Linked DNA regions of Daphnia pulex. The protein of the gene in region 3 purifies or fractionates together with the protein of the main gene of each other region. This does not show direct contact. Links are inferred from orthologs where the notes say so. Each region holds a gene or a part of one and is shown on either strand. Other genes may lie near its edges. The genes, in order: ribonucleases P/MRP protein subunit POP1-like, ribonuclease P protein subunit p40-like and ribonuclease P protein subunit p30-like.

Region 1 (4,240 bases), on a different chromosome or scaffold from region 3:
TGCCATTCCAGCGCTTGGTCAGAGAAATCGCCCAGGATTTCAAGACCGACTTGCGTTTCCAGAGCTCGGCCGTCATGGCTCTGCAGGAGGCCAGCGAGGCTTACTTGGTGGGTCTTTTCGAAGACACCAACTTGTGCGCCATTCACGCCAAGCGAGTCACCATCATGCCTAAAGACATCCAGCTCGCTCGCCGTATTCGTGGTGAACGTGCCTAAGCGACTTTTAAAATCCCTTTTGACTTACCAATCGGCCCTTTTCAGGGCCACCATTTACTAAAGAAGAAGATTACCAATCAACCATTGTTTTCATTACTATATTCTTGTAAATCTTTCTTACCGTCACACATTGATGTGAATGGCCTAAAATAAAGAATACTCTACTCATCACTAACCACGGTTTCTTTCTAAATGCCAGAATTTCACAAGCATAACCTTTTCGATGGTTTCAATGTGCAATGGAAAACTTCTAAATTTTGGTAAACAAGGAAAGATATTGAATCATGCCCTATTTTAGAACTGCACCCAAATAAGTAAAGCCCAAACCATGTAAACAGATTAGACTACAAATTAGTATCATGGGAAACTGAAAACTTTGAACCAACCTGGTTTGCAAACAAAATCAGGCAGTCGGTTTATCCTTGCGGTCCTCAGCACTTATCTTTCAATCCTAACACTTCATTTAAATTCACAACCACATTCCAAATCCCTAATTATTTGTTTTAATAATCAATAATCCTCCCCCCCCCAAAAAAAAAAATGAGAAACAAGAACATAGACAACAATCAAAATCTATATATGCAGACGACCTAGTAAACAAAACAAGCCACCTGTTGGCCAACAGTTGGAAAATCTTCTTTCTAGACGGTGCGACCAGCGACCTCCCAAAACTTAATATGTAGAAGCGGAACGGAATTCTCTTCCCGCTTTAACACAAATGGAAAACAAATTATGTAAGAGAGATTTAACCTTTACAACAAATTGTTTCATTTAGTACTTGATCTGAGAGTAAATGATTCAGTTCTGATTTCTCTGAGGTCAGCGGTCTGAAAAGACTCTACTTCTCAATGGATTCCGAACTCCCGTCTTCGGACGGCACATTTATTGATTCAAAAATTTCCATTACTCTTTATTGAAGCCCCGGAAGGTGATTTACTGTGTTATGTGTGATGTGAATGTGATAACTACTAAAAAAGTGAATATGAAAATGAAAACGCCGCTCTAACCCATATCGTGATCACTTCAAATAAAACAACAGAGTAAGTCAGTAGTTCTGTGGTTCTGGTAAATTGGTAATAATAGCATTTGAAAAATAGAAAAAAATTGAAGATTGAATCTGCGTAGAATTGTAATGGAAAGTTTGGCAACGAGATTACGAGATTGACCGATTACCACAGCAGACGAAAACGACAACAAGTTAGTTGACACGTGAGTTAGAGCATGTGATGTTGATGTTCAAAATTTCAAACTTTATTTGAATTAATCACCGTTGCTTACTAGAAAAGTAAAAATCACCTTTTGTAAGATGACTGACGAAAGAAACAAAATGACGCAAAATGTTCCTTCTGATTTATCAGTCGTTCGATTTTCTTCTGTTAGAGCCCAGGAAATTGTTGCTCTCACAAAAATGATAGGTGAGTTTCCCCCCTCCCCAAAAAAAGAGTTGTCCTATCAACATTTGCTAACATGTTGTTTGCCTTAAGAAAATCCACAATGCACCAAATTACTTTTTCAAAAACTGCCATGTCATATGCGAAGAAGAGCAATGAGCCATAACCCAAACAGAATGCCAAGAACCTTAAGGGAAGCCCACAAGGCCCAAGTAAGTCTGCTTATAAAAGTATAGCTCCACACTGAATAAACTCTATATTTATGTGGATTTAGATGGCAAAGAGTGGTCCAGCAACCCAGCCTAAGAGGCCTAGAAGGAAATATAGACGCAGACCAAGCAGATTGCTGGAAGAGTATAAAAAGCGATCTAGTAAAGTCTCTTGGCTAGAAACACACCTGTGGCATGCCAAAAGGTTTGTTTCCATTTGTAGGTTATGTTAAGGACATGTTACTACTTTTTACCATTTAGGTTTCACATGGTAATCAAGTGGGGACATCGTCTTCCTGAAAGATCTTGCGCTCGCAGTCACAGATTCTGCTACCGTTCAGTAGCTCAACATTGCCTGCTAATGGTATCAATTCAAAATATTAATGATTTACGTAATTATTAATTGCCTCTTTTTGTTCAAAGGACATATCGTACTTGTGTTGCGTTGAAATTCAAGGTCCACAGGATGAGATCGTTCGAGGCCTTATCTCTCTCTGTGATCCTAAAACTGGCCCAACGTTTGGTGCGTCTACTTTCCTTAATGGCACTCGTGAAGGAAGAGTGATCATTTTCAAGCGAAATCAGTTTTCGAGCGGCCCCATCGGCTTGGTTACGTTTTTGTGGTGCAATACAGGGAATCCGGATATGCGAACCTTGTGGATATGGAGCCATCCAGCTTTCTACCAACAGTTTCTGTGTGAGCTGAATTCTATTTTCGAATCCGATTCCGACTTATTATGCAAGCCTCCTGGAGTCAAGATTACCTTAAACAAAGGAAAGCTAAATCGGTTCAGATTAAGAGGGCCCTTTGCACATTCAGTTGTATCGTCGTTATTCGACAAAGAAACTAGGAGCGCGTCAAGTTTATCACAATCACCTGGGTTTGTCACCAGTGTTGAAGTCAGAGATCCTCGAATGATACTCGCACAAACCCGAATCAAAGCGTCCAGTTCCACGGTAGGTAACTGTGAACTTGTAGGATTGAGCCAAAGTAAATTGTGGGATGCCAGCGTTCGAGATCAAATTACCAATATGCGAACAAGTTTACCCGATCACGTCATCAATAACCGTCGTAGTGAATTACTTGTTCCTGGCACCGAGTTACCCGTCCAGCCAGAAGAAATCCCCATTCCAATCCTCATTGTGAATGCATCTCACGAGAGCAGCGGTAAGTAAATACATTTCTTTTATTATGTAATTTTTTTTTACCTTTTTTTTTCCTTTCAAGATTTTGTTCCTGGCTGTGACGTCATTTTGCCGGCTGGATGGGCTACAGCTTTCTGGCTTGCACTGATCTATAGTGGAGGGCACGCTGGAGGTTTGAAAGATGCGGGAAGCATGAATTTTGAATACGGAATTTGTCGGGATCTCTGCTTAGAAATCGACAGTGAAGCAGGAAAAGCCACTGCCGTTGACAGAAAAATGAATTTGATGGAAGAATACTTTCGTAGACCACCTAAAACAAGAACCAACTTCATCAAATTAGCCACACCTTTTCCGTTCTGCGTCGATTGGGATCGCCTTACAATCGACTGGATCGGTCAGTCTGAGTCAGGTTTCACTGTATTACGTGACAAGAAGCTCCTAAGTGGATTGTGTCAAAAGAATAGGATTGTGCTACCCGAAATCTTATTATCTCAACCTTATTTAGTGCCCGTGACAGTTCGAGTTAAACACGGGTCACCTCAGGAATTTTCAATGATCTGTTTACCGGGAGCCGATGATAAAGTTAATTCAGTAATTAACGAGCCTATTCACCAAGATCCCTGCGCCAAAGAACGGAAAATGTTACGCCAACAGCACAGTTCCCTTCTGAAGAGTCTTGCGAAAAAGAGGAAAGAATTCCGGGATAAAGATGGAACCATTGGGGACTTCTCCAGCGCCACTGCAATTGCTGTTCACAAAGAAAAGACTCGCTCGTTATGGCTGCCTTCTTCCTGCAATTTAAAAACTTCATTCGCCAGGCCGATCATTGGATTTGTCACTCAAGGAGATTTCGGTCTTAGCGAAGGAAAAGGAATTGGTCGTGGATATATAGTCATTCGTGCCATTTCACAAATACCTTTGTCTCTTGTGTTGGTTCGAAATCCTGGAACTAATTTGTACATGTGGGCTGAAATTACAATGGAGTAAAATACATTGACAAACTAATTGAAGTTATCACAAGTTATTTTATGTGTAATGTAGAACATCAATTCTTGGTTACAATAGTACATTACCCATAGCGAGATTGTATTGGTAATGGTATAATGGATGAAAGTGAAAGCAGAACATCAAATTATTTTATTTCTTTCCAACCATTCCTTTCTTCCCACGTTTAGGCATGACTTCCTCACTATCCGAATCGTCTTCATCGTTGCTTTCTTTCTTTTGCTTTCTCGTTTTAGTGGTACGTTCTTTAGACGCTTTACCCCCGTACTTGGCC
Region 2 (3,358 bases), on a different chromosome or scaffold from region 3:
TTTATTAAGCAGAACTTGAGAAGAGATTAGGATAAAAGACAAGGCCTCTAACAGTATCATCTCTACAAATCAATCCATTTCTTTCCATGAAATAAAGACGTTCTTGTGCCAACACAATCGATATTTGGAATTCCTGTGAAACCTCCAATGCTGTGAGTTTATCCCTAGCCTGTAACTAAAAAAATTTGAATATGTTAGGATTGCATTAAAGAAAAAGTAATGAATTTCAATAGAAGTATCAATTTGGCTGTGGGTTTAATAACTGTTATATTCATGTGCAACAGCCAGGACCTAGATCAGAAACAGCAATTGAGTTGAAAGTGTCGACCTCAGAATAATGAGAATATGAAATCATTAAAAATACATATCAACACGATACTGGCTATTCAATCAGGAGATCAGCCCATTAATGAGCTCTTAAAATTGATCGCAGGGCGCAGAAAAGAAGAAGGACACCCTTTGACAACACACTTGTGATAAAACCAACTTTGAAATTTTAGGGGATGCCCTGTACAAAACATTTAATTAATATGACTTCCACTACTTCAATAGTGGAAAACTTACATTCTACGGATTACCTGAATGATGTAGTATTTTTCCATATTTTTCTTTGGTCGAAGTTGTAATCCAGGTAAGAGAAAAAGCACTTTGAAAAAATACTCCCATAAGAGCCCATGTAAAAAAAGGGTGTGGTTTTATTAAGATGGCGGATTGCAACATTGTCGGACTACAAGAATCCTGCTATCCGCACGGTGCAAGAGGTCTATCAATTCTGAATATTCTGATTTCTGAATTATTAAAAGTCTGGGTAAGTAATTATTGAGTAATCTCTATGGAAAATAAGATTAATGGGTTAAATACTTATAAAAAGGAAGAGATTTTTGTGGGAGCTCGGAGGGTGTTTAAAGGAAAAGCAAGCTTAGCGGGTACAGTATTTTCTTTTTGTAGACCTTTTCCAGATGATTCTGATTAATGCAATTATCGTAATGCAGCAAATTGATCACTAAATTGAATGCTTACATAGTGGTCGTTATTCATTATGCTACAAATATTCGGTTAATCTATTGTATCGTACAAAATCTTCCAGAGTTCCAGACTTCATTAGAAAATCATTAGAAAATTATGAATTTTCCACGTAACTTCTTCTTTGGCCCTCTTTATTCATTGCCTAGGTATTTTATATCATTATTATAATATAGTCGACTTAGATAGTTTAAATAAACCGCGTAATGATAGTGACGCCATCTATAAGCTTTGAGATAAACTATCGATAACTAAAAACGTTTTCGCTAGATGGAGTAGGAACTGACTAAAATAGTAAACAAAACAATTACAAACCACACCGGATCGAAAACTTCTTCTTTTTTCGTTGGAATTAACTTTCAAATACTTCCTGAAATGTACAATCCAGAGGTAATAAATTTTCCTCCACCAAAATCCTTGAAACAAACATGCACATGGAAGAAAGACCAAATACTTAATAAAGTGCCTTCCCAAGACCTAGGAAATCATTTTCATGGGGTAAGAGTGAAACTTCAATAACTTTTTACATTATTCTAATAGAGGAGTATTCTTGTTACAGATTACTGCAATCTTGTCTGGGGAAATTACTGAAATAGCTGAAATTCAAGACTTCTTTTTAGACTCAACATTTTACAGAGTTAACAAATTCCCCGTTCATAAGTTGCTGGACCCTGATTTTCTCTCTGCATTTGTTAAAAAAGGACATTTTGATGCCAGAACTTTAGGAACATGGGGTGAAGTTGATCAGAGTATTGTTGTTGAATCAGGCAAACTTCATCTTTCTGTCTGCAAAGATGTGTATCAAGAGCTAGGGTTAAGTGGCCAAGCAGAGGTAATTTCATCCAAAAAGTGTCCTGCTAAATACGGTAACTTAATTATTCACTGTAAATTTTTTCAGTTTGTTAACATTGTATTTGGTTTTCGTAGACATTTCTGTTAATCTTCTTGATGATAAGTTTTCCCCTGATTCTAAATACTACAAAAGAGTTAGTTGGTGTTTACAAAATCAGACAAGTCTACAATTTGATTGGATCATGAATTGGCATCCACACGGTAAGGCTTTTCTTAATAGTGGAAATTGTATCAAGCGTTGACTAATAATAATGTTTTTACCACAGATTCTGACATCTGCCCATCTTCCCTTGCTGCTTACCTCGACTTGCTTGGCTTTCAGGTAGTTCAGTGTCTGCCATCCTTTGAAGAAAGAATTTTAAATCAAGTAAAGGTTCCACTGCTATGCACTGAAACAGACATTTCAGATGTTGTTGAATGGGTTGGAGCTGCTGCATTGAATATCACATGGTAACTAGATATGCTTTTAGAGTAAACTGAGATATTACATTCTTTGTTTTATTTATCTAAGTCCTGACCAAGAAGATTACACTTCTTCAATGACATGCCCAGAGCCCAGTTATAAATCTGAAAAGGTTCACATCTTGAAATGGAAAGGATTTTTTTCTGCAAGACAGGCAAAAGAGTTACTCGGCGTGATTTTGAAATTGCGACCAGAAGCAACAGAAAACTCTGTTCAATCATGGCTTAATCTCACTCTCATTGGATTTGATGAATTCCAAATAGGTGTGTTTTATTGGCAATCATGTTAATTTCACATATTAATTTATTTTTAATTTTCAGCATCAAGTATTTGCTCGGTTTTTACAACGGCATCGGACAACTGCCAAGTCTTTACAAACCAGACATCTAGAAGGAAAATCAAATGAATTCAATTCGACTTTTGTTATTTCATCTTCTGTAAAAACACATCTGAATAAATTAAGTCAGATACTGGATCGATTAAAACAAAAAATTAATCTTTTATATCTGTACCTCATAGTTGCTTACACATGCAACTGCACTCCGGTATCACTCGAGTTTTGCCATTACAAAAAGGAGGGAAAGAAATGTAATAGCCATGTCCTCAAACAGCCTAAAATTCTGTGTCGCAAAACAATTTTTTCATAGCATTACTTAATGATTAGAACTTAAAATTGCGTATTGTTTATGTTTAAGGACTGAATACGTTTTTAAAAGAAATCAAGCTTTACACAGCTGCAAAAAACGCGGAAACTAGTTATTTCTACCGCAAATTTTTACAAAGAACGTTTTCACTGAACGACGACTGTGTATACTAATAATGACATACCTTTGACAAAAAGAGGGCCATGAGTCAACAGCTCAGTAGGAAATTCAATCAACAGCTGTCGGTGCACTGCTGCGAAATACCTTGAAATAAAACCACAAAAGAAAAATATTTACCACATGATTATTCGTAACAGAAGTTTCGAATCCTCTCAGACCGCACCAGTCTCGTATGGAGTTTGTTCCTTTCAAGGAG
Region 3 (2,849 bases):
CGGCAAAGGGTCACGCTAAAACAATGTCTAAGCAGCTTGAAGAAGCAGTATGGCAACGTGAAGTAGCTGAGCAGCGTTTAGCGCGAACTAAAACTGAACGAGATGAGTTGGAAGAAAACTTTATGGCTGCCATACTGGAGGTGCAACAGAAAGCTAATTTGAAGCAACTCGTTCTAGAGAAAAAATTGTAAAATAATTCATTAGATATGAGAAAACAGATAACAGCTTCTAATTTGTTGGATTTCAGAGAATCTTTACAAGAAACTCTCAAGTGTAAGGACAATGCTTTGAAGCAATTTACCTCGCACGGTCCGGGTTCAAACGGTGATGGGGGTACAAATGCGTCTGGCGAGACTGTAGTAATTTCCACACTTTCACTCACACTTTTAATCAGCAAATTGTTAATTCACATTTTCTATCTGTACAGTCATCGTCTTTGAGAGAAGGGAGGAAACAGACAGTGGTTAAAATGAATTTTGAGGCACCACACCACGAGGAGCTTCCAGATAAATCATTTCAATCTTCCAATGAAAGTTTAGCAGCTGTTGAAGAAAGAATCAGCATCAAATCTGGTTCTGTCAAATCAGTTGTAGGTTCAACAAAGTCTACATCAGCAGTTCTGGACATCAATGGTGCTGGTGTTGGAACCAGCACTCAACGAAAACTAAAAACAGCCAACTGAACAAAAACAGAACAATCTACTTCAATTTAATTACTTCACATTTTAATTGTTATATTGTTTCTTAGTGTTCTAACTGTTTAAAAACACCGAAATCAAGCGTGATTTTCCTTTAACAAGTGTCTGTCAAGTTGGTAAACAAATAAATTTGCGTCGCTAGAGGGACAGAAATTCGTCTGCTTGATTCACATGCTTGCTTCGTTTGTGATTTGTGATTTTGTTTCAAAGCACGTGACTGAATTATCAAAAGATTTTCGAATATATAAAACAATGAACACTGTGCAAGGTTTCTGTGATTTCAATATCCCATGTCCATGCAGTCCTACTACAACACTTAAAGAAGTCGTGTTGAGAGCTGTCAAACGTAAATGAATTAGTTAAAATCCTGCCCTATTTCGTCGTTTTCACCTGTTCTGTTTTCTTTCAGTTGGTTATAGTGCCATAGCTATTAACACAACAATAGAAGAAGATGTTTTAATCAACACCAAGAAAAAAGGGAACAAGAAAAATGAAGTAAAGGAAGAGAAAAAAGATGTTCCACCTCCTCTAAAACTTAAATTCACCGAAGAAGAGTTGAACTTATTTAAAGTATTGTAAAATGAAACTATGGATTTGATTTTATATTCAAATTTACCTCTTACTTTAGGTCCATGGGAAGAATGTTAAAATCTTACATCGGTTGACTGTCATGCTCAGTGACCCTGTGAATACACAGAAACTTGTGAGTACTCCATATAAATGCACTTTATTTGGGAATTACTGATAAGCATTTTGTGTTTCTCAAAAGATCCAATCGGGGAATACCAAAAAATCTGATTTGATAGCTGTCTGCCCAACAACTACGGCTGCTTTTCTAGTATTTTATTTTTATCTTTATGATTGAAATCAATTTTATTTAATTATTTTTTTTAATAGCATGCAGCAGCCAACATGGATATAGACATAATCACCTACCATCCGACTGAAACCAAAGAATTGCTGAGATTCACCAGAAAACATTATCGCCAAGCTACTGACAGAGGAATATTTTTTGAGATTCCCTATTCACATATGCTTAGAGATTCGTCAAATAGGAAAAAGATTATCCAGATTTCACATTTGTACCATACAGTTGGCAAATCCCGGGTGAGATTTATCTATTTCAAATTCAGAATGACCAAATTTTACTATTTGTGTTTTGGAGCCTTAGTTGTTTATTACTATATATATTCAACTCTTCCTGTAGAACGTCATAATCAGTAGTGGAGCTCTTACACCATTAGAACTTCGCAATCCTTACGACGTAGCGAATTTGTAAGGAACACATTGTTGATACTGCTTATTAACGAGACTAAATAAGTCATTGCATATTTTAGAGGATTACTTCTTGGATTAAGTGAAGGAGAAGCTAGATCTGCTTTAAATTTGAGTGGACGATCCGTTGCACTTCATGCTGGTATATATTCCCTATAAATTTCTGCATTTAACTTTACACTTTTACATTTTTCATTCGGGAATTTCCAGTGACTCGAAAAACAGGAAAATGTGTCAGCTTTATTGCTGAAACTGACAAGTTGGATCCAGAGGAACAATGGAAAGCTAAGGAAATAACTGACGCGGAAGAAAGACTTGCGGGAGAACCAGAGCCCAAAAAGATGAAAATGGAAACTGCTTAGTTTAATAGTCAAAAAACGAAATTCGACAACATCTTGCACTTACTTGTATTCCATTTTGATCAATAGATTATGGCTGAACTACATAAGAACAGAAAATTTGAAGTTACAGCTGCTTTTGCGGAGGGCTTTACATGTTGCAATTATAGATCGATGTATCGCACGTCATAGACATTCACACTTTCATGCAAACAAAATGTTGCCCTAGGTATAGAGAGCCTAAAAGCTACCTACACAACATTAAATCTTAATAATCTTCTCGTTTTTGAAAGATCTTTAATTTCATATTAGCACTTCAGGTATTATATTGAATGACAATCAAAATTAAGGATATGTCAAGTTCTCTGTCACAAAATCTAAAACGGTGCTGCTTAGAAAGTACTCAATCAAATGAATGAATAAATTTTGTGTGTATAAAATAACTCAACTTTGTCCCTTTTGTCATACGAGGAGACGTGAACAGTTGGACGTAAAAAGTTTTCAGATTCTTGGAAGATCTAGAAGTTCAGGACCTGTGG

The links.
Region 1: the proteins of ribonuclease P protein subunit p30-like (region 3) and ribonucleases P/MRP protein subunit POP1-like purify together in Homo sapiens (affinity purification with mass spectrometry; 5 studies listed by BioGRID and IntAct, counting the BioPlex papers as one, with this or other methods). This does not show direct contact. The link is inferred for Daphnia pulex from reciprocal best matches to the Homo sapiens genes RPP30 and POP1.
Region 2: the proteins of ribonuclease P protein subunit p30-like (region 3) and ribonuclease P protein subunit p40-like purify together in Homo sapiens (affinity purification with mass spectrometry; 3 studies listed by BioGRID and IntAct, counting the BioPlex papers as one, with this or other methods). This does not show direct contact. The link is inferred for Daphnia pulex from reciprocal best matches to the Homo sapiens genes RPP30 and RPP40.

The regions. Positions count from the first base shown.
Region 1 is NC_060026.1:2,974,608-2,978,847, reverse strand, and holds ribonucleases P/MRP protein subunit POP1-like, read left to right. Parts: upstream 1-1,382; 5' UTR 1,383-1,424; intron 1,425-1,496; 5' UTR 1,497-1,521; coding exon 1,522-1,630; intron 1,631-1,699; coding exon 1,700-1,818; intron 1,819-1,880; coding exon 1,881-2,020; intron 2,021-2,076; coding exon 2,077-2,179; intron 2,180-2,238; coding exon 2,239-2,983; intron 2,984-3,043; coding exon 3,044-3,948; 3' UTR 3,949-3,971; downstream 3,972-4,240. Other genes in the region: histone H3, read left to right, coding at 1-215; dnaJ homolog subfamily C member 9-like, read right to left, coding at 4,099-4,240. UniProt on the Homo sapiens protein: Component of ribonuclease P, a ribonucleoprotein complex that generates mature tRNA molecules by cleaving their 5'-ends. Also a component of the MRP ribonuclease complex, which cleaves pre-rRNA sequences.
Region 2 is NC_060026.1:1,155,357-1,158,714, forward strand, and holds ribonuclease P protein subunit p40-like, read left to right. Parts: upstream 1-1,297; 5' UTR 1,298-1,398; coding exon 1,399-1,521; intron 1,522-1,582; coding exon 1,583-1,889; intron 1,890-1,950; coding exon 1,951-2,076; intron 2,077-2,141; coding exon 2,142-2,325; intron 2,326-2,386; coding exon 2,387-2,601; exon of another isoform or gene 2,602-2,658; coding exon 2,659-2,744; 3' UTR 2,745-2,813; downstream 2,814-3,358. UniProt on the Homo sapiens protein: Component of ribonuclease P, a ribonucleoprotein complex that generates mature tRNA molecules by cleaving their 5'-ends. Also a component of the MRP ribonuclease complex, which cleaves pre-rRNA sequences.
Region 3 is NC_060018.1:996,238-999,086, reverse strand, and holds ribonuclease P protein subunit p30-like, read left to right. Parts: upstream 1-1,367; coding exon 1,368-1,400; intron 1,401-1,466; coding exon 1,467-1,535; intron 1,536-1,594; coding exon 1,595-1,804; intron 1,805-1,904; coding exon 1,905-1,972; intron 1,973-2,034; coding exon 2,035-2,114; intron 2,115-2,182; coding exon 2,183-2,334; downstream 2,335-2,849. Other genes in the region: dynein regulatory complex subunit 4-like, read left to right, coding at 1-187, 248-359, 428-682. UniProt on the Homo sapiens protein: Component of ribonuclease P, a ribonucleoprotein complex that generates mature tRNA molecules by cleaving their 5'-ends. Also a component of the MRP ribonuclease complex, which cleaves pre-rRNA sequences.